Pelodiscus sinensis: one gene and its partners. The protein of the gene in region 3 interacts with the protein of the main gene of each other region in a pairwise test. Links are inferred from orthologs where the notes say so. Each region holds a gene or a part of one and is shown on either strand. Other genes may lie near its edges.

Region 1 (7,440 bases), on a different chromosome or scaffold from region 3:
GGCAGCTTGCTCCCTCAGTCCACGTGCCCCCGGGCGTAACCCTGGGCAAACAGATGTGGTGCCAGACCCCCAAGAGCGTGGCCTCTCTCAGGCTCCAACATGCTGCTCCTGGGGACTTCCAGGGTCCAGCCCGTGTGACAGGAGAGCCCAGAGAGGCATGCGGGGATGGGGCACCCAAAGGACACTGCAAGCAACACAGTCACCTGGCAAAGATCTCGGAAAAGATCTGCTTCCGCTCCAGGGGCTTAGCGCAGCGAGAGCCTGAAAGCCTCCAGCCCCACAGCTCCCAAGAGAGCCAGCCAGCCCCCATCCCTATGGGGCCGGCCCAACCCCTCCTTACCTTAGACTGCAGGTAAAACGAGCCCCCCACCGACTTGTCGTTCACCTTGAATAAGTGCTCGTAATTCTGCCAAAGGAAACAAGCCAAGCATGGGCGGCCGCTCCTCCTGCCCTCGCTCTGCATGTCAGCGCGCTGCCAGCCGGCTGCGGGACGCACGGTGACAGGGCCCTCCAGGCAGTGCCCAGGATATGGGAATGCGCTGGGGGCCGCGTCCATGCGCTTCAGCACAGAGCCTACCCCCCAGCAGCCAGCAGGGTGGCAGGGCCCCAATGAGGTGGCCATACACGGGCACTGCCTGGAACAGGACCTGCCACCGCCCAGCCATGCCTGCCAGAGCGCGACGACCAGCCTGCAGTGGCCGGGGCAAGGGGCCGACCTCCCAGCGTGTGCAGGCCTGCCTGTGGCTCGGCCCGCGCTGTGCCCTTACCTTCTGGATTTCCTCCGGGCTCAGCTTGGAGATGTTGAGGATCTGCTGGGCCTCTTGCAGGCTGATCCCTGAGAGGCTGGTGGCTGCAGCAGACTGGGGCCCCCGGGCATTGGCCGCGGCTCGGCTGGCTGTTCAGAGACACCCTGAGCTGGCTCCCCGCACGCACAGCCCACCCACAGCACTCCCAGGAGAGCTGCCCCCCGAGCAGCGGGACGGGGGCCACTGGCTGCACAACCGGACGTGCCACCAGGCTGCGAGCTGGGGGTGGCCGTTGGCGATGTAAAATCCCATTTAGTTGGTTAAACCTGGGGCTGGAGCACCCGCCACTCCCTGCAGGCAGGGGCTGCTCCGGCGGGGATGGGGATGGGCTGGAGGAGCCCAGCGACCAGACACCTGCTCACATCCCCAGTGGCTCTATGAGCCCAGGGCGCCAGGTTCAATTCCCCGGTTGCAGGCTGGGTGGGGCCATGGGGGACCCCGCTGTGCTCTGTCCGGCCCCATCGGCCTGGGCAGGGCCCGGCACGCGCGGGGCAATCGGGGCACCGCAGCCCAGGCCGGGACCAGCCAGCCCCAGAGCGGGCGGGCGCCCGGTGCTCACCTGCGAACTCCTGCCGCAGCGCCCGGGCGAAAGCCCTGCCCAGCACCTGCGCCCCCAGCACCAGGATCTGCGCCAGGTACTTGGCCTGCGGACACAGCGGCATCAGGGGAGGGGCAGCTGCCCCCCCCGCGGATTAACCCCCCCCGCCAGGGCGCCCCCCCCCGCAGATTAACCCCCCACCAGGGCGCCCCCCCCTGCAGATTAACCCCCCCGCCAGGGCGCCCCCCCCCGCAGATTAACCCCCCACCAGGGCGCCCCCCCTGCAGATTAACCCCCCCGCCAGGGCGCCCCCCCTGCAGATTAACCCCCCCGCCAGGGCACCCCCCCAGCAGATTAACCCCCCCGCCAGGGCACCCCCCCCGCAGATTAACCCCCCCACCAGGGCGCCCCCCCCTGCAGATTAACCCCCCCGCCAGGGCACCCCCCCAGCAGATTAACCCCCCCGCCAGGGCGCCCCCCCTGCAGATTAACCCCCCCGCCAGGGCACCCCCCCCCGCGGATTAACCCCCCCGCCAGGGCGCCCCCCCCGCAGATTAACCCCCCCGCCAGGGCGCCCCCCCCGCAGATAACCCCCCCCCCCGCCAGGGCACCCCCCCAGCAGATTAACCCCCCCGCCAGGGCGCCCCCCCCGCAGATTAACGCCCCCGCCAGGGCGCCCCCCCCGCAGATAACCCCCCCCCCGCCAGGGCGCCCCCCCCGCGGATTAACCCCCCCGCCAGGGCGCCCCCCCTGCAGATTAACCCCCCCGCCAGGGCGCCCCCCCCCGCGGATTAACCCCCCCGCCAGGGCGCCCCCCCCGCAGATTAACGCCCCCGCCAGGGCGCCCCCCCCGCAGATAACCCCCCCCCCCGCCAGGGCGCCCCCCCGCAGATAACCCCCCCCCCGCCAGGGCACCCCCCCAGCAGATTAACCCCCCCGCCAGGGCGCCCCCCCCGCAGATTAACCCCCCCGCCAGGGCGCCCCCCCGCAGATAACCCCCCCCCGCCAGGGCACCCCCCCAGCAGACTAACCCCCCCGCCAGGGCGCCCCCCCCAGCAGACTAACCCCCCCCGCCAGGGCGCCCCCCCCGCAGATAACCCCCCCGCCAGGGCTCCCCCCCCAGCAGACTAACCCCCCCCCCCGCCAGGACGCCCCCCCCCCTCTAGGGCGCGCCCCCCGCCGGGGCGCGCTCCCCAGGCCGCGTGGGGGGGGGGCTGGCGGGGGCCCGGCCGCGCTCACCATGTCCCTGCGCGCGGCCCGGCTCGGGGAGCGAAGCGCTGGGGGCGGGGCGGGGCGGGGGGCGCGCGCCGGGCACCATAGAGCCGGGCCGGGCGGAGCGCGGAGGGAGCGCGCCCCCTGGCGGGCGGCGGGGAAGCTGCAGCCCCGGCTGGCCCAGCTAGTTTGATCATGTGACTGGCACGAGGCGCCCCCTGCCGGCGAGCGGAGCGCGGGGTGCAGCCCAGTCGGGCAGCGCTGCCAGCCCCGGCCCGCGGGCCTCAGTCCTCAGCCACTGGCCCGGCCCGCGGGCCTCTGCCCCCCCCACGCGGCGTGATGCCTCCGCCCGTCTGCAGCCCTGCGGGTGCTCTGCCCCGGGAGGGCACCAAGCCCTGGAGACCCCCTGCCAGCCCCATATGCCCCAATATGGCCCAGGCCCTGGCCCCCTTGGCCGCCAGCGCAGTCGCTGCCGGGCTGAGCCGTGCCCAGCCAGCCAGTCCCATGGGGCGGGCTTTGGAGGGTCGCCTGCTGCCAGGCCCCGTGCCCGGTGGGAGCCGGACCCAGTGGCACTGGCAGTTCCTTTGCAGGAAGCGTTCCCTCTGTGACGTAGTGGGGGGACCTGGCTGGTTTCTATGCGGCTGGCTCTGGGGTAACCCCCACTGGCTGCCGTGGGTACCACGACCCAGCAAAACAGGATGAGTCACTATGCAAAGGGACCTCTCAACCGGTATGGCCAGACACCCCCCATGGAGAGGAACAAAGGAAGGTGGATGCTGCCCTGGCTGGGGGCAGGGCTGGAAGAGGGTTGGTTAGTTGCTGGTTGGGGGCATGGAGGAGACAGCCTAGGGAAAGGGGCTGGAGTTTAGGGGCCCGGTCTCCCCATCTCAAGGGGGCCTGAGGCATCCTAGCCCAGCTCTGTGACCAGATTACATCTGTGCTGTGCTGTATCCTGGAGAGGCAATAAAATTCCTCTATTCCACCGGCTGGTGCAGTCTGTTTGTGCCATTTCGGGGTGCAGGAGATGGGGGACCCCCAACGCGCCGTCACACCCTCCCCCAGGGCCCGGCCTCTGAACATGGGTCCCTTTGCCTCCTGGGTCACCTCCTGGAACCCTGCCCAGTGCCGGGCAAGGGGCAGCCGGCCGCCCCACCCTGGAGAAGGCTCTGCCGCCGCACGGCCTTTCCGAGGTTATAGACTTGCTGCCTCCATTGGGTTTTTAAAGAACCTTTTATTAAAACTTGCGGTGCCGTTTCGGAAGCCCCCTGCGCACAGCTGGGTTGCTGGCATTCGGCCTCACCCAGCGGGCCCCTGGCCCTGCCCCTGACAAGCCCAGCCCGGCCTTGGCCAATGGTGCCAGCCCTCTCTGGCACTTGGGTTTGTTGGCAAGGTAGAGCTACGCAGGCTGGGCTCCCTTGGTTTCCTGATTTCTGGGGGTGCAGCTGAACCCCTCAACCACAGGGCTGGGCTCCATGGCCCCTCCCATCCCTGAGGCTCCCCCCGGGTGACCCTGCCCAAGATGGGCTGCCCTCGAGACCAGGGCAGGGTGCCCTTGGGGGGCTTGTGCTTTGAGAACACACGATTCCTGGCGGAACAATGCCAGGGCCAGCCAGGCAGTGACTCGCCGGGTGCCAGCAGCCAGGGCGGCAGACACAGAGAAGGCACGTGGTGGCCCCTTGTGCCGGGGGCATTCCAGCCTCCGGCCCGTGATCCCTGCGGCCCGGAGGAAGGGCCTGACCGTGCAGCAAGGCCGGGCGAGTGCTCTGGGGCAGGCCTGTAAGGCGTTCAAGGACCCCCCACCTTAGAGCCCCGTGCTGGCCGAAGGGGGCATTGCCAGTCGCGCCCTGTCCTGGGGGCAGCTCTGAGGGCTGAAGAGCTGGTGGTACCACACCAGGAAGGGTCGGTGGCTGTGAAAGGAAACGTCAGGCCAGGCTGGGAGGCCCAGACCCCCCCCAGCGGCTCCCCCAACTCCCCTGGGCTGTCACTGCCGGCGGAGGTTACCCCGAGGGGGGTAGTTTGAGCAGCGCCAGCCGGAGGCGCCTGCTGGTGTGTCGGGCTGAGGTGCGCACTCCTGGTCGAAGCGGGGGCAGCGCGGCGGCCGAGCAAGCGGCAGAGCGTTCGGGGCAGGCCAGGCCGAGGAGGGAGGCAGGGTCTGGCTCGCCGAGTCCATTAGCCCTTGGGTAGCAGAGCAGAGCCCGGCACAGAGTGGGCATCCTGGGTGCTTCGGCAGAGCGCTGCTGGTGGGGCACTGAGGCGGGCAGCGGCGAAGCCTGGGGCGGGCGTGGTCCAGCGAAAGGCAAGTCCTCAGCGTGGGAGCCGCCAAGGCCAGGCAGGGCGTGGGGAGCCAGCAGCTTTGGCATGGAGGAGACGGTGGTCCCAGGGAAAGGAGTCACCCCTCCAGGGCTAGTCCTACAACGAAAGATGGGTGAGTGGGACCAGGAGCCCAGGAAAGGCACCTGGCACGGGTGGGATCACTGGGCGTTCTGCCCCCTCCACAGCCCCCCCACGCCCGGGCAGGACGCCTGGCACACGGGTGGGATCATCAGGCGTTCTGCCCCCTCCACAGCCCCCCCACATCCTGGGCAGGGCGCTTGGCACAGGGGTGGGATCACCGGGCGTTCTGCCCCCTCCACAGCCCCCCCACGCCCGGGCAGGACGCCTGGCACACGGGTGGGATCATCAGGCGTTCTGCCCCCTCCACAGCCCCCCCACATCCTGGGCAGGGCGCTTGGCACAGGGGTGGGATCACCGGGCGTTCTGCCCCCTCCACAGCCTCCCCACATCCTGGGCAGGGCGCCTGGCACAGGGGTGGGATCACCGGGCGTTCTGCCCCCTCCACAGCCTCCCCACATCCTGGGCAGGGCGCCTGGCACAGGGGTGGGATCACCGGGTGTTCTGCCCCCTCCACAGCCCCCCCCACATCCTGGGCAGGGTGCCTGGCACAGGGGTGGGATCACTGGGTGTTCTGCCCCTCCACAGCCCCCCCCACATCCTGGGCAGGGTGCCTGGCACAGGGGTGGGATCACTGGGTGTTCTGCCCCCCCAGGACTCCCCCTGGGCATGGAGGTCTGGAGGGTTGTTCCCAGGCAACTGTCCATAGGTCCCACTGCCGAGCTTTTCCTGGGGGGCTGAGAGCAGACGGCAGGGGGCTCAGGCAGCCCTGTGGCTGCCAGCGAGCTGAGTACTGGCTGTCCCCTTGAGGGCAGCGCGTCACAACAGCCCCTCACCCCGCAGCAGCCCCAGCCTACCCATTCCGCCTCGTCCACGCCCTCGAAGGAGTCCTGCGGCAGCGGGTCCTCCCGGTTGCCCAGCTTGGCCACCATCGCGCTCAGCAGCTGCAGGGAGAAGGGCAGAGTGTGGGCACCGGCCCGCAATGGTCCCAGGCATCCGTGAAAGGCAGCTGAGAACGCGGGCACTGCAGCCTCGGTCCCAGCCCTGGGCGCGGGTTAGAGGCTGACTCCAGCAGGCACTCTCATGACAGGTACTCCCCCTGCCTGGGGGAGCGCTGGTGGGCGGGGTCAGCGCCTGGCAGGGAGGGGCTCCATGGAGCTGGTGGGCGGGGTCGGAACCTGGCAGGGAGGGGCTCCATGGAGCTGGTGGGCGGGGTCAGAACCTGGCAGGGAGGGGCTCCATGGAGCTGGTGGGCGGGGTCGGAACATGGCAGGGAGGGGCTCCATGGAGCTGGTGGGCGGGGTCAGAACCTGGCAGGGAGGGGCTCCATGGAGCTGGTGGGCGGGGTCGGAACATGGCAGGGAGGGGCTCCATGGAGCTGGTGGGCGGGGTCAGAACATGGCAGGGAGGGGCTGCATGGAGCTGTGGGCGGGGTCTGAACATGGCAGGGAGGGGCTCCATGGAGCTGTGGGCGGGGTCAGAACCTGGCAGGGAGGGGCTCCATGGAGCTGGTGGGCGGGGTCAGAACCTGGCAGGGAGGGGCTCCATGGAGCTGGTGGGCGGGGTCAGAACATGGCAGGGAGGGGCTGCATGGAGCTGTGGGCGGGGTCAGAACCTGGCAGGGAGGGGCTCCATGGAGCTGGTGGGCAGGGTCAGAACCTGGCAGGGAGGGGCTCCATGGAGCTGTGGGTGGGGTCAGAACCTGGAAGGGAGGGGCTCCATGGAGCTGTGGGCGGGGTCAGAACCTGGCAGGGAGGGGCTCCATGGAGCTGGTGGGCGGACTCAGAACCTGGCAGGGAGGGGCTCCGTGGAGCAGGTGGGCGGGGTCAGAACCTGGCAGGGAGGGGCTCCATGGAGCTGTGGGCGGGGTTGGAACATGGCAGGGAGGGGCTCCGTGGAGCAGGTGGGCGGGGTCAGAACCTGGCAAGGAGGGGCTACATGGAGCTGTGGGCGGGGTCAGAACCTGGCAGGGAGGGGCTCCGTGGAGCACGTGGGCAGGGTCAGCATCTGGCAGAGACACCAAAGGGAGACACCCAGCGTGGCCAATGGACCCTAGCACCAGGCCAGAAACAGACCATGGCCATGGGGCAGGGTGGCCTGGCTGGGGCAGTGAGCCACACAGGTTCCTGGGGGCTGCCCCACCTCCTCCTTCTTCTGCTCGTCAGACTTCTCCTCCAGGTAGACCTTGGCCGGGACGTACTTCCGGGAAGGCGCTTCCTGCGGGGCCGCGCTCACTGGCCCGGCGGGAGAGAACAGCGTCAGCACCCGCCTTCTCACCCCACCCCCTGGCGCCACCCAGCTCAGCTCACCGGCCTTCCCATAGGGCCTCCTCCAGTCCCAGGGAGAGCCTGGCCACCCTGGCCCCTTCCCCCTTCCGCCAGCCCCTGCCCACCCTAAGCCTTCCCTGGCCCCTTCCTGCCCTGCGCCTGGCAAGGCCCCCCATTCCTCCTGCCCACCCTGAGCCTTAGCGTCTCCCAGTGCCCCACGGCCAGG
Region 2 (6,946 bases), on a different chromosome or scaffold from region 3:
CTAATAAAGCTGACCTAAGCCTTGGGGGAAACATGGCTAGGTCAAGTCTTCTGATAATTAACTTCCTGAGAGGCAGTAGCTAGATTAACTACAGTGTTGGAAAAACCCTTTCCATTGCTGTAGGAAGCGCCTACACTACATCATTACAGCCACAGTATCATAGCTGTATTTCTGTACTGCTTGTGGCAAAGACCTGGCTTGAACATTTAGAGGATGCTTGTGTCAGTCTCATGTTTCCCTCTTAACTTAAAAATAAATAAAGCAAGGATTTGCACATAATCCTTTGACTTCAGTAAGTGGGACTTTAAGAATGTTACTAAATTTCACAAGATTTGCAACAAAATTATGAGAATTATAATAATTCTTGGAACTTTCATTAGAGAAGGGCAAAGCTTCTAAACAGACGAATCTTACAGACATGCCAATGAGGTAGCTAAGGGATACCCCAAGAACCATTTACTGAAGCAGCCCCTGCCTGTGACACCCCCAGGCCCACCGCAGACAAGGACTGGATGCCTGGAACAGCCCTTGTCTGCAGCAGGCCAGGAACTGCTCCAGCCCCCTCTGGTTAACTGATTAATCTTTCACATCCCTAGACGGAACACAATGACCCATGTCGGGATTTGACCAAAGCAGTGGAATCACTGTCTCGAGTTGGATCTTTAAAGACTACCAGAATGGGGTCATCTTGAAAGCACAACACCCACAGAGATGCTGAACTAGGGATGTTACCGAATCCCACCCCAGCTTAAAGTGGTTTCCATCATATACAGGCTTTACAGTTTGGTTTAATGACTCTCAGAATCCATGATACAGCAAGTTCTAGCACCCCCGAGTACCAGTGTTCGCTGTCAGCCAGTGATGGGCAACCTAGGCTAGTGAGTGGACTGCATGAGTGACTCTCCTCCAACTCAGTGGGCCACAAGACCGAGTCACAGGACAAGGTAGTTTTGCCTACTGCGCTTGCGTACCTGGAATACGCATGGTATGCAGACTGAATAGTAGCAGCACTTTGGATGCAGAGGGAGCACATGTCTTTTCACAGTCAATGGTGTGCAATCAGCATGCACTAGGGATGTAAAGGAGTAGTAGAGTCAACTACTGGCATTATCCCCCACTTCCTGCCTCTGATACTGCAGAGGCGGGGGAGGGGACGTAGGGGCTGCTGCTGCAAAGCAGCCCCTGTCTGTGGCGACCAGCCAGGGGCAGGGGCTGCTTCACAGCAGGGATGTTAAAATTAGATTAATCAACGGATCAAATAGTGGATGGAATTTCCATTGCAGAGCCTTTGAAATGTACAAGATTGAAATGCCACGTGGAGCCTGGGGCAAGTGGGGGACTCAGTCTCTTGCTAGCCCCAGGCTCCATAAGGCACTTCTGCTTTGAAATGGAGCTGGAGGGAACCGGCTTTTAAGCTGACTCCCTGGCCCAGCACCTCATTCTTCTCCCTCCACCTTGATGCCTCTTTCTGACAAAGGCAGCAAGAGTTGGGGTGGGGAAGGAACTAGTGTGACAACTACCTGATAAGCTTATCAGATAGCCGACTGACTAGTCGCTTACATCCCTACTTCAGGCAGCAGTCCCTGCCTGTGGGAGGTCCCAAATTCCTGCTGGGACCTCTGCACACAGAGATTGCTGCTAGCTGCATAGGCTGCCTGGCTCCTACTGACTTTTAAATTGCAGAGCTGCAGTGGGGTTCGGTCTCACACCAAGCACCAGCCAGAACTGAGCCGGGCTGCCTATCAACTAATTGAATAGTCGATAAAAACTCTATCAACTACTCAATTAGTTAAATACCTTCATTTTAATGTCCCTCGCATGCACTTCACGCCACGTGTCCTTGCTTTATACGCACGTCACAATAGCAACACCAGTAGCAAAAAAAAATGACACATACTGAAACCAGCGAAATCTGGCAACCCTGCGCACCGGCAACAGGAAACAAACTGTCCCACGGGCCACACGCAGAACCCCTGCCCACCGCTGCTGTAAAGCATACGCAGTAGCCAGGCAGGAGAGAGTCCAATGCTGCCCAGCGGATGAGCAGGGCGCTAGATTTTCTTTCTGGGGTGGTGCACAGTCACGCAGGCCTCGGTGCACGTTCACATTTATTCCGCACGTGGATGGAAAGGAGCGGGAAGGAACAGGGCCATTGCACGGCGGGGGAGGGCGCCCTACCCTGTTCTTCTCCTCCACCTCCTGGACGCACTTGGCTCGCCACTGGTCGATCCTGGCCTCCCTTTCCGCCGCTCGGGCCGCCTCCTCCTCCCGGGCCGCCTGGGCCTCCTGCTTCCTCTTGCGGAGGCGCAGCCGCCTCTTCCGCGCCTTGTCCGCCTTGCGCCGCAGCTCGCCCAGGCCGCCGGGCTCGCGCAGGGGCCGCAGCTGCTCCTGCAGCTCCCTCAGCAGGGCGCGGGCCTGCTCGTGGGCCTGGCGCCAGCCCGCCTCGTCGCCGGCCGCCTCCTGCCGCCGCAGGGCGCGGCACAGCGCCGCCAGCCGGGCCACCGGCCGCAGCGCCCCCGCCGCCAGCTGGCGGGCTCGGCCGGGGCTGGGCGCGCCGGGCGGCGGGGGGAAGCCGCGGGGCCGGGGCCGCCGCCGGGCCAGGAACTGGGCCAGCCACAGCTCATCGCGCGTCCGGCGCGCGGCCTCCTCCTCCGCCTCGCGGGGCTCGGCGCCGCCCTCGGCCCACGGCGGCGCCCACGGCGGGGCCGGGTAGAGGGGCCGCGGGGCCGCCTCGCGGGCCGGGAAGAAGGAGCCGCCGCCCGCGGGGAGCAGCTCGGGCGGGGGCAGCGGCGGCGGCAGGAAGGGCGGGGCGGCCGGGAAGGGGCCGGCGGCGGGCAGCGGGGGGAAGGGGCTGCCCGGGGGCGGGAAGCAGCGGAACGGGGCGGGCGGCGGCGGCCCGGCGAAGCGGGGGGCGAAGGGCGGCGGTTGAGCCATGGGGCCCGGCTCGCCTCAGCCCGGCCGCGCGCGCGCGTGCGCGCTTCCGGCAGCGCTCCCTGGCGGCGGGGAGGAGGCGGGGCAGGGCTGCGCACACGTCACGTGGGGCGGCTGCGTAGGAGAATTTGAATATTGATGAGGGGGGAGGGAGCAGAGCCCTGACTTCGACCAGGACCCTACGCACGTGGAGGAGACAGTCCAAGCAAGGGGCCTGACTGCCTGGATTAGAACACGCAGGTGGTGTTTGTACAGGGCCTCTGCCCCTCTGCTCAGTCCAGGGCCTGGCGGGCATTGGCTACTGTTAGCACAGAGGGGAGCCACCGGCACAGTCATTTCTAAATCCCTGGGCCAGCCCTAAGCTTCTGCTGCAGCGTGCTGGCAGGGTTCCCACATTGCAGCACACACACAAATGAAACCAGGTTGGGGGAACCTGCAGCACAGCAGGGTTCTGTAGGTTGCTCCTTAAGCGTATTGTTCATCATTGACCTCATACACAGTAGGATGAGGGGCTCTCCAGCCATTTCTGTTAAGGGCCCAGCTCTGGCTGTTACATTGCCAGGTGGGGGAAGTGTGGGACTTACTCTGCCTCTGTGCAGCTACCATTCAGGGATGTATCACACCTTCTTGAACCAACCCTAGCTGCAGGATGCTCCAGGTTGAGACTTGGCTTGTAGCATCCTGCAGCCAGAGGTTGACAGTAGCAGAGGTGAGTCATCTCCATGCTGCTGGGAGAGCAGATGCCAGCTGCTCAAGTGCTGCAGCCTTCAGAGGCTAGCACTGAAAGCAGCACAAAGTGAGGGTAGCAATCCCCCAACCCTCTTACAACACCTTTGCTACAACCCATCTTCACTCTATACACAGCTCTTTTGCCTGGTCAATTTCACTGCCATAGGCTTTCAAAATGTGAAATTGACAAATTCTCAAATGTTTACAGTGAAATTTCAGATGTAAACATTTGAGAATTTGTCAATTTCACATTTTGAAAGCCTTTGGCAGTGAAATTGACCAGGCATGAGATAGGGTTTAATATATATGGCATTGCTTTGACACCACCTTGGAGTTGATCAGCTAGAGTCACAATGTTCAAATGGGGCTACACAGCTGGTCTCAATATATCACCTGCGCTGCCAGCTGCTTCAGTGCAAATCCTCTTCCCATGACCCAGCAGTTATTGCCTGTATGCAGATGAGGCAGTAACAGTATGAGGATGTCACAAGGAGGAGCAGAATCAATGCACAGAAGAGGTAATTTACAAATGGACATTTTGTATTATTTGACTGTTACAAAATGCATTACATAATATAGCCAAATAAGAATACATGCATTGACACTGTTGCTCCTAGTATGGACTTGTTTGCTCCAGATAAGTGATCAACAATGTGTTTAGACTAGTACAGTCTAATCTCAGCTGCTTCAATCTGTCCCTTCTTGCCAAAATGGCAGCTGAAGAACTGCTCTGCTGTTGGTTCGCTGGACCCAGCCACAGTCCTGCTATTCTACATCTTTGCACTGCAAAGCAGATTGATATCTATCCCATTCCCATAAATCCCATTTACTACTCCTAGGTATTTCCAGGAGCTGCAAAACTGGGATTACACAGACAGCACTAAATGAAACAGTGGGCAGGAGAGAGTTTACTTGAACCATTTCCATTTCTCTATCCCCAACAGCACAGAACTGGTTTGGTTTAGTACTAAATGTTTTGAAGCCTGCTGAAAGCCTTCTCCAATGGGTTCCTAGAATTTCCCTTCACATATTCATGTCCCCAGGAGTAATGAACAAACAAAGCGTGTAAAACTCTTAGCAAAAAGCCAACTGGAGCATCTTTTCCTAGACCTTAAAGTGGTCAGTTATGCGACTCCTTCCATCAAGGTGCAAGGAACTGACACAGGTAACTTCCACAATTACTAATACAATGTGAGAAGGGAAGAGTTTTACATATGCATACTTTTCCCTCAGTCATTGGTTTGGTGCATTTTACAAAAAAAAGCACTGATCTTTACTTATGCAGTCATTTAGACTTACTGCTATTGGGACACCCAGGCTTCGTCTACATTGCCGGTTTTGCAATGAGGTGTAGATTAGCATATCGCTGCAGAAAAAAAAGTAGTGTGGATGTTTTGTTTCTGCGCAAAATCCGTTTTCCGCAAGATCCTTACGCCTCTCCCGGAGGGGCATAAGGATCTTACGCAAAACGGGGTTTTTGCGGGAAAAACCCAGTCCACGCTAATTTTTTTTCCTGCAAAAACCCTTTGTGCAAAGAGTTTGCATAAATTATGCAAATTGCACATCAATATGCTAATCCACACCTCATTTGCATGCTCACAGCCCACAAAACTGGCAGTGTAGATGTAGCCACAGTGCTTTCATTCAAAACAGGTATTTCCCTGGGTTTAGTAGTATCCAAACAGATGATAAAGCAAGCCTTTCAATAAGAGAGGGCTAGATATGACAGAGCTAGATATGGCCCATCCCACAAGCCTCCGGATCCAACCTGTGAGCAGCCCCAAACCAGGAACCTCAGGCACAGAGCAGCCAGAAGCTTCCCATAGCTCTCTACTCCAGGCACCAAGGGGAGGGAGAGGCTTTGCATGCTGTCCCCATCCGCTAACAAAAATATCTCAGCTGCTATTGTCCAGAAACTGGAGCTAAGTGATTTTGCTAGGAGGTGAGGCAGCGTGTGCTGCTTCCCCTTCCCCCTGGGCAGCTGCAGCGGAGAGCCTCAGGGAGCAGTCTGGGACAGCCTGGGACAGCCTTAGAACAGCCTGGGACAGGGCTGCTGGCTGTGAACTGCCTAGGTAAATGCCTGCTGGTCATTTCCTGCCCAGGTCATCACCCAATCCCTCTGCACCCTCCTCCCATAGGTCATAACTCCCTCCCAGACCTTGCACACCCAATAATCCCTTCTCCAGGCCAGAATCCTTTCTTGCTCCCTTACCTCCTCCCAGACCCTGCACCCCAAGCTCCCTTTCAGATCCCATACCCTCTCCTGCACTCGAGCCTCCTACCCCAAACTCCCTTCTGCACCCAACCTTCATCTCAGACCCCACATCCTCTTCTTAGAAAAGTGCAGCCTTTAACCATTTCCTAAAATCTTGGCATGGCCTCCCATAACAAATAGACAACTGCTGCAATAAGGCAATTACTGTCCATAACTGACTATATAGAAGGCAGCTCTAATTAGCCTCACTCCCCACAGTATCAACTTGATAACAAGGTTTCAAATGAGCATGAAGATGCAAAAGGATGGCCCTTCAGAAGCTACTATAATTAGGTAACTTTTTAATTGAGTTAGTGGAAGCATTTATCTGACAATAACCACCACAGGCTATTTATGCAAAATGCATTTCATTCGCCCACGTTATAGCTATTTTGCTTTTTATTGTACTTTTATTATATGTACCTTTCCATTCTAAGAATATGAAAAGTCATGATTAACTTGCATAGTTTCCAAAGCACCATTCTATTAGGAATATTCAATATGGTCTTAAAATAGACAACTGAAAAAGCTCAATATATACATATATAACTTAATTCAGCTTTTTAATGAAGATCCTGACCATAACTCAAAACATTTTTCCGAATGGTTAATTACTTTGTGCCATTACTTAAGTCTCATGCTTTATCTACAGAAACATATGTAATTCATGACTATTTGCTTTGTTTTATTGAAACACCAAACCTACTTTTGAAGTACAAATCGTAGTTACACGTTTTAAAACATTTCTTGATTACATATTAAACTAAGTTGTTCAATGCCTTTCACTAAAAATATTCCTTAATCATTTCAAAGATGATTTAACAGAATTAAAAGCTATTTGAATTTTCAGTCTACTACCTGTAAAAGGAAAATAAAGTTACGAAAATTGGAAGTTTGATCATTCTCTATGAGAATCTACAGTAAACTAAGTACGCTTGCTTTTCCTGGAAGTCTCCTGAACCCTGAGAGCAGCCTTTCCTGAACCATTATTGGTTTAACCAGAAGAAAACAGAAATTGCAACATCAATTCAG
Region 3 (7,107 bases):
AGGGCCCTGGGCTGGGACCCGGTGGAGCAGGTGGGCTCAGGTCCCCCCCCCCCATCAACCCTGCAAGGCGACACACATCCTATTAGGCTGCACTGCCCTGACAAAAGGGCATTGTTATGGACTCCAGCTATTAGGCCATGCTGCCCTGGGGGGCGGGAGGAGGGCACTACTATAGACTTTGGCCACTAGGCTGCACTGTCCTGGGAGATGAAGACATTATGATGGACTCTGGGGCTATGTCTACACTGGCAGCCTCTTGTGCAAGAACATCTTGCTCACGGGTTCTTGTGCAAGAAGTCTTGCACAAGAAAACGTCCACACTGCCATGTGCGTGCTGTGCTCTTGCGCAAGAGCTCCCATGGCAGTGTGGACACTCTCTTGAGCAAGAAATCCCTGCCGAGCGTCCACACTGCCCTCTTGCGCAAGAGGGCTTACACCTGATAAAAAAAGAGGTGTAACTCCTGCACAAGGAGCCCTCTCTTACCACGCCGTACTATAAATTTCCTTGCGCAAGAGCGGGTGGGCAGTGTGGATGCGCTGCAGATTCTTGCGCAAGAAGCCAAGAGTGTAGACATAGCCTGGCTGTTAGGCCACCCTACCCTGTTGGAGAGGGGTGCTATTACAGATTCTGTCCACTAGGCCACACTGTCCGGTGAGAGACAGGGGAATTGCCAGAGACTCTGGCTGCTAGGCCACACTGCCCTGAGAAAGGGATGTTGTTACAGACTCTGACTATTAGGTTATGCCACCTAGAAAGTAAGTGGAACTGACATAGGTGGGCTAGGATGCTATTTGAATAGTAAAAACATCAGAACGGCCAGACGGGGTCAGACCAAAGGTCCATCCAGCTCAATGTCCTGTCTGCCCACAGTGGCCAATGCCCGGTGCCCCAGAGGAAGGGAACAGACCAGGGAATCCTCATGTGATCCCTCCCCTGTCACCCATTTCCAGACAAGCAGAGGCTGGGGACACCATTTCTACCCAGCCTGGCTAATAGCCATGGATGGACCTAACCTGCATGAACGTAGCTAGCTCTTTTTTGAATCCTGTTAAACTCCTTGGCTATGTCTACACTGCCCCCTCTTGTGCAAAAAATATGCAAATGAGGCAAAGCATGGAATATTGCTGCACCTCATTTGCATAATTAATGAGGCTCTGTTTTTGTGCAAAAACCCCCTCTTGAGCAAGAGCCGTTCTTCCTGGAAAAGAGGACGAATGGCTCTTGCACAAGAGTGGGGGTTTGTGCAAAAAGGAGCCGTGTAGAATCCTCACTTGCATATTTTTTGCACAAGAAGGGGCAATGTAGACATAGCCCTAGTCTTCACCACATCCTCTGGCAAGGAGTTCCACAGGTTGTGCGCTGGCTATTGATGCCTGCAGCATGACCTGAACATTCAGAATTGTTTGGCTGCAGAATGGAAAGCTCTCTCATAGGGATGTAAGCAACTAGTGACTCGACTAGTTGCTCCCCTCTCCTCTTTGCTGCCTCTATCAGAGAGAAGTAGGAAGGGGAGAAGAGCAGGAGCTGATGCTGGGGGAAGCTTGCTTAAAAGCCAGTTCCCACCAATACCGTCTCCCTGGGGAGGGGCAGGGACGCAGTGGGGAACTGGCAGCATTTCCACCTTTGAAGTGCAGTGAGAGTGGAGCTCTCGCTACATTTCAAACGCAGAAACACCACGGGGAGCACGTCCCCCTGTTGGCCCCGTACCCCTCTCCAATGGGGCTTCTGCGTTTGAAATGTAGTAAGAGCCAGCAGGGCTCTTAGTACATTTCAAATTCAGAGGCATCCTTATCGACTAATCGATTAGTTGATGCAAATTCCATTAACTATTCAATTAGTTGATTAATCTAAATTGAACATCCCTCCTCTCGCATTAGAGAGACAGATGCTGAAAGGCCGTCCCCTTGGTCAGAGATCCAGCCGCAGAACCACTGTTCCTTGTTCAGCAGGGTTGGTGCAACCAGACACTATGTCCTTGCCTTGGAAGCGGGTAGCAGTCATGCCCATGACCTGACGCCGAGCTCTGTGTAGCTTGAAAGCGTCTCTCTCGCACCAATGGAAGTTGGCCCAATATAAGATTCTACCTCACGCACCTTATCACTGTAATACCTGGGACCGACTTGGCTCCAATACACGCGTCCATGGCCATGAGCCACCGGCTGGGATCTCCACAGCTCTAGAATAGGCACAGGACTGTTTGATGCACAGAGACCTCGGAGAGAGTCATGAAAATACCAAGGAACCTAAAAGCTCCTGCTGCTCATCCCACCTGAATGTGGCCATTTGCCATTCTCGTGTGTGCCACAAGGTGGTGCCAGAGAGATGATTTCAGTCCCTTACCCTGGGCCTGGGGGAGTTTCACTCTGGAGGAAGAGAGACCCTCGGGGTGGATGGATGGTCCTGAGGGATGCTGAGCAGCATGGAGGCCCAGGGAGCCACAATGGGGCATCCAGATTTTCTTTTGCACCCTTGGGCCTCCCAGCTCAAAAGTCATGTTCTTGGCTCCCTCCGGCAGCCAGCTTCATCTGCCCCTCCGGCAGGAAGAAAGTTGCTGCTCTGCCGGGTTAACACCTATACAGCAGTGAATGTGGGTCTGGACTGGTGCTGGGCTGGCGTCTAAAAGCAAAAGTGCCTGCTTTTCCATTCGCCGAGGCGTGGGTAACTCCACGGGAGTCCTCCTCAGCGCCCTGGTGCAGGGGAGTCAAAAATCAGGCCAGAACCTTTTCTAAGCTGACCTATTTCTCTGATGCAGGAAAAGCGAGGAGGGGGTGGGGGAACAGGCCAAGCCCTTTCTTAGCAGCCCAGTGGGTTGGGATGAGAAAGGAAAGTCGCAAACCAAACAACCTGTGTGTCAGTCCAGGAGGAAGCCCTAGAATAAATTCACATCTTAATTATTACTCCTCATTGGCTGGCTGGCTGCCGTAGAGCTGGGATTAAGGGTTTAAAGGTATATTGCTTTTTAGAACATGCTGGATCACCCTTGCTAACTGACCCCCTTTAGTTTACTAAACCTCTTGTGTGGACTAGGGATGTGAATGGGTAACCAGTTAACTGGTTAGTGGGTTTCCCAGGAGCAGTCCCCCACCCATGCAGCTTTTCTGGCAACAGAGAAATAGGTCAAGGCTTTGGGGATATTTTTAATTTTTGGAGGCTGCAGTACTTTTGTGATGGGTTTGGGGATTTTTGAAGCTCGGGAGCTTTTCAGAGGCAATAGACCAAAGGCTCTGGGGATTTTACTGAGGCCTCTGAGCCTCTTGCAATTTTTAATTAAGATTTAAGATGATTTTTTTTGTCTGAGAACCTGGAAAAAAGTTGTTTCAGGGGGAGGGGCTGAAATCAATTTCTTTTTTAGGAATTGCAGAAAATTGGTAAGGGAAGCCAAGAGACTAAGAGAAATCTCTGGCCAACAGAATGAAGGGCAATAAAAAGTAGGGTTGTCAAGCAATTAAAAAGATCACCCGGGACGCCTTTCCAAGAGACGGTGCTGCACCCAGCCAGGGTCAGCTGGGGACTCCAGCTGACCCCAGGCTCAGTGCAGCTGCCCCTTGGAAATGCATCAGTGATGTTTCCAAGGGGCAGCATCATGGGAGCCTGGGATCAGCTGGAGTCCCCAGCTGACCCCGGCTCCGTGCCTCCTTCCTTGCATTGATCACAGGTCTTAAGGCAGATCAATTGACAGCCCCAATAAAAAGCTTTTTTTAGATCATGAACAAAAAGAATCCGGAACAGATCGTTTTCCATTCTCCACCTTAGCACGCCTCCGGCATTCCCCTGCCCTTAGTCTGTGTCCGAGAGCTGTGACACGGACCAGAAATTGCCTCTCCTCGGCAGAAGAACCCATGTTGAATTGGCTAGAGTGACTGGTGTCCTGGGGGGACCTGCAGGGCCTCAGAGGGAGAAAGCCTGCAGACGAGGGAGCAGTTTCTTCTGCGGGGTCGCTGAACTGAACCCCTGGCTCAGAGCAGCGTGTCCGGACAGACAGCAGAGGGGGCTGCTGCTGCGAGACCCCCCCCCCCTTTGCCAGGAGGGGCCCTGGGCTCTGACTTTCCTTTCTCCCAGGCTGGCCTTGGAAAGACTCTTCCATTTGTGACGCGATTCCCCGCCCAGCCAGCCCCGGGCCCCGGCCCGCCGGGAGCCTGCGTCGCCCCCCAGGCTTTGCGCTCAGGCCAGAGCCCCGCTCCCCCCGCCCCGAGGCCCCAGGGTGCCCCCAGGCCCCGGGGACCGAGCCGCGCGCCCGCCCGGCTGCGCGCAGCTGCGGCATATTGATGAGGGGGCCGGGCGCGCAGCGCTCGCTGCAGAGAGGCGGCCGCCGGCCCGGACCAGCCCCGTCTCCGCGCAGCCAGGCAGCGGCTGCCGAGCCCGCGGCGCCTCCTCCAGCCGGCGATGCGGAGCTGAGCCCGAGCCCGGCTGCCCGGGACCCCCGGCCGCCAGCCCAGAGGTGCCTGCCACGGCCCTTGTGTCCGAGGTAGGGGGGTTGTGTGGTTGTTGTGTTGTGTTGTGTGCGCGCGCCCACCAGCGGGACTGGATGCGTGTGCATGGATGTGTGTACAGGAAAGGCTGGGTGTGTTTGTGCACAGGGTGTCAGTGGTTGTGTACGGGGGTGTTTGTGTGTGTGTACAGGGAGCTGTGTTGTGTAAGGGGACTCGGGGTGTGTGTGTGTGTGTGTACACAGAACAGGCTGTGTGTTTGCAGGGGCGGTGTGTGTGTGTGGAACAGGGTCTCTGTGTGTGTGTGTGTGTGTGTACCCAGAACAGGCTCTGTGTGTACCCAGAACAGGCTGTGTGTTTACAGGGGGTGTGTGTGTGTGTGTGTGTGTGTGTGTGTGTGTACCCAGAACAGGCTGTGTGTGTGTGTGTGCGTGTACCCAGAACAGGCTGTGTGTTTACAGGGGCTGTGTGTGTGTGTGTGTGTGTGTGTGTGTGTGTACCCAGAACAGGCTGTGTGTGTGTGTGTGTACCCAGAACAGGCTGTGTGTGTGTGTGTGTGTGTACCCAGAACAGGCTGTGTGTTTACAGGGGGTGTGTGTGTGTGTGTGTGTGTGTGTGTGTGTGTGTGTACCCACCCAGAACAGGCTATGTGTTTACAGGGGCTGTGTGTCCATCCAGAGGGAGGCTGTGCGGGTGTGCGAGGACGCGGCATATTCCCTGGTCCAAGGCATGTGCAGGGAATGGTGTGTTGCAGGCCTTGATGCTGAGGTGGGTCAGGGGGGCTGTGCTGAGAATGCAGTGAGAGGGCGCCTGGGGCCTGGGGATCGGTGTAAGGCGGATGGTGCAGAGGGATTTCATAGCTGTATGATGGCTGAGAATCCAGGGTGTATGTGGAACATGGGGGGAGGGGGGAGCAGATGTCAGTGTGCCTGGGGTGGGGGAGGAGGCTTTGTTGTGCAGCAACGAGGCTTTCTGGGAGCTGGCAAGTGCACACGGAGGGGGCTGTGTCTGCAGTGAGGTAGAGGCCTGTGTGTGTGCGTGCATGTGGGCTGGTGTTGGATGTGTGTGGGAGTGGCTGTTCAGAGAGACAAGAGCGAGTGCATGTGGAGGAGAGAGGAGAGGAGATGGGGGTAGGTGTGCAGGGAGGGGAACTTGTTAGTGTGTGTGAGCATACGGGAGGTGGGTGTTGTGCGTGGAGCCTGCGGATGGTTTGGCTGTAATGGGGGGGGGTGCATGTCCCCAGGGATGGAGAGGGTGTGTTTTTGAGGGGCGGGATGCAGTATTGCTGCCCGGCACTTAAAACAAGGTGACCTGACCTCACTAGTGCAGTCCCTGGGAAGCCCTGACGTGCTCATTACAAAGAGAACAACATGGTGCCGGGTTCTCTGCTTGCCGAACAGGGAGGCAGAGGAAATGCTGGTGGTGGAGCTCTGAAAGCCAACAGCAAAGTGACAGGGACACTCCTTCCACCTCTCTCCTTCCTCTCTGAGCACCATCAGTGTGCAGGATCTGATGCTGGAGGGAGGCTGTTTGCCCAGGGTACCCCCCCTCCCCCTTTCTGGAGTGGGATGACTCAGCGGGCACTGGCTCTGCAAGGAAGGCATACCATGGAGATCGTGGTGGGAGTTTGAAACCAGGAGCGAGCTAATGAAAGTCGAGCACAGTTGGGACTGGGGGGGAGGGGGGGGAGAATTCTGTTAACCAGAGAGGCGAGGGCGAGCGGAGGAGAAAGGAGCCCTGAGCTGACCGGTGTGGGAAGGTTGGTGCAAATCCAGAAGCCGATGGAGATGGCAGAGGGGTCGATTACCTGCGGTTCTGGGGGATTCTCCATCTCTGGCAATTTCAAAATCAAGATTAGTTTTCCAAACAAGATCTAGTTCAAACAGGAGCCATTTCAGGGGCACTGTTGTCGGCAGGAGGGCAGCCTTGATGATTACAGTGGTTCTTTCTGGCCTCAGAATCTTTACATGATGCTCATTTATGGGACATTTTCTCTTGAGCTTCCGCGTCTTTCTGTTCTCCATTTTCTATTGCTTCTGTCATGTCACGTTTGGCAAAAATGGAACTTGAGATTTGCTCCGCAGTGAAGCAGAGTGTCGGAATTTCTGCTCTTGTTCACCTGCCTGCCGAGATGCTAAATTGGAGGGCATGCTTGCTGTTGGAGTGGACTCTTAAAGAGCAGGGTTTAGGATAAATAAGGGGGAAATTCAGAACCAAGGGCCAGAAAGACCAGTGAAGTGGTGTTATGCTTTGTGACCTTATTGTGCAGGAGACAAGTGGATTTCCCCATGGTGTGTTGGCAGAGATGCAAGGCAGTGAAAGGACAGGAAGTCTCATGTACACATTGGGGTTGCAGTCTTGAAAAGGGAGACAGATACCAAAATGATGGATACGAGGGAATTTCCCCCCATAAGATATAATGGTCCTCTCTGCATGCTCCCACCACTCCTGCTCCCCCGTTCCTGCCAGCGCCTCCTGAGTGCTGGAAGAAGCACACGCAGAGGGTGTGAGCCGTGCAAAGGGTGATGTAAGAGCTGCAGATGGGGACTGGTATGGATGGGATTAGGGTCCCCTATTGGTGGGTGTCGGATACATGAAATGATGGGTAGGAAGGAGACGTAAGCAGGGTACGCTGACAGAACTGCTGTGGGTCCAGGGCTGGAGCAGCTGGAGAGGGTA

What was found. The genes of interacting proteins can lie anywhere in the genome.
Region 1: the proteins of FEZ1 (region 3) and PAM16 interact in a two-hybrid assay, tested with the Homo sapiens proteins (2 studies listed by BioGRID and IntAct). The link is inferred for Pelodiscus sinensis from reciprocal best matches to the Homo sapiens genes FEZ1 and PAM16.
Region 2: the proteins of FEZ1 (region 3) and PDCD7 interact in a two-hybrid assay, tested with the Homo sapiens proteins (2 studies listed by BioGRID and IntAct). The link is inferred for Pelodiscus sinensis from reciprocal best matches to the Homo sapiens genes FEZ1 and PDCD7.

What each region holds. Positions count from the first base shown.
Region 1 is NC_134726.1:3,202,750-3,210,189, reverse strand, and holds the start of PAM16 (mitochondrial import inner membrane translocase subunit TIM16), read right to left. Parts: upstream 3,014-7,440; 5' UTR 2,873-3,013; intron 2,840-2,872; 5' UTR 2,587-2,839; coding exon 2,584-2,586; intron 1,451-2,583; coding exon 1,366-1,450; intron 896-1,365; coding exon 768-895; intron 407-767; coding exon 341-406; intron 1-340. Other genes in the region: CORO7 (coronin-7), read right to left, coding at 4,960-4,965, 5,805-5,891, 7,090-7,181. UniProt on the Homo sapiens protein: Regulates ATP-dependent protein translocation into the mitochondrial matrix. Inhibits DNAJC19 stimulation of HSPA9/Mortalin ATPase activity.
Region 2 is NC_134724.1:6,575,301-6,582,246, forward strand, and holds the start of PDCD7 (programmed cell death protein 7), read right to left. Parts: upstream 3,014-6,946; 5' UTR 2,935-3,013; coding exon 2,179-2,934; intron 1-2,178. UniProt on the Homo sapiens protein: Promotes apoptosis when overexpressed.
Region 3 is NC_134736.1:13,407,415-13,414,521, reverse strand, and holds the start of FEZ1 (fasciculation and elongation protein zeta-1), read left to right. Parts: upstream 1-4,095; 5' UTR 4,096-4,266; coding exon 4,267-4,466; intron 4,467-7,107. UniProt on the Homo sapiens protein: May be involved in axonal outgrowth as component of the network of molecules that regulate cellular morphology and axon guidance machinery.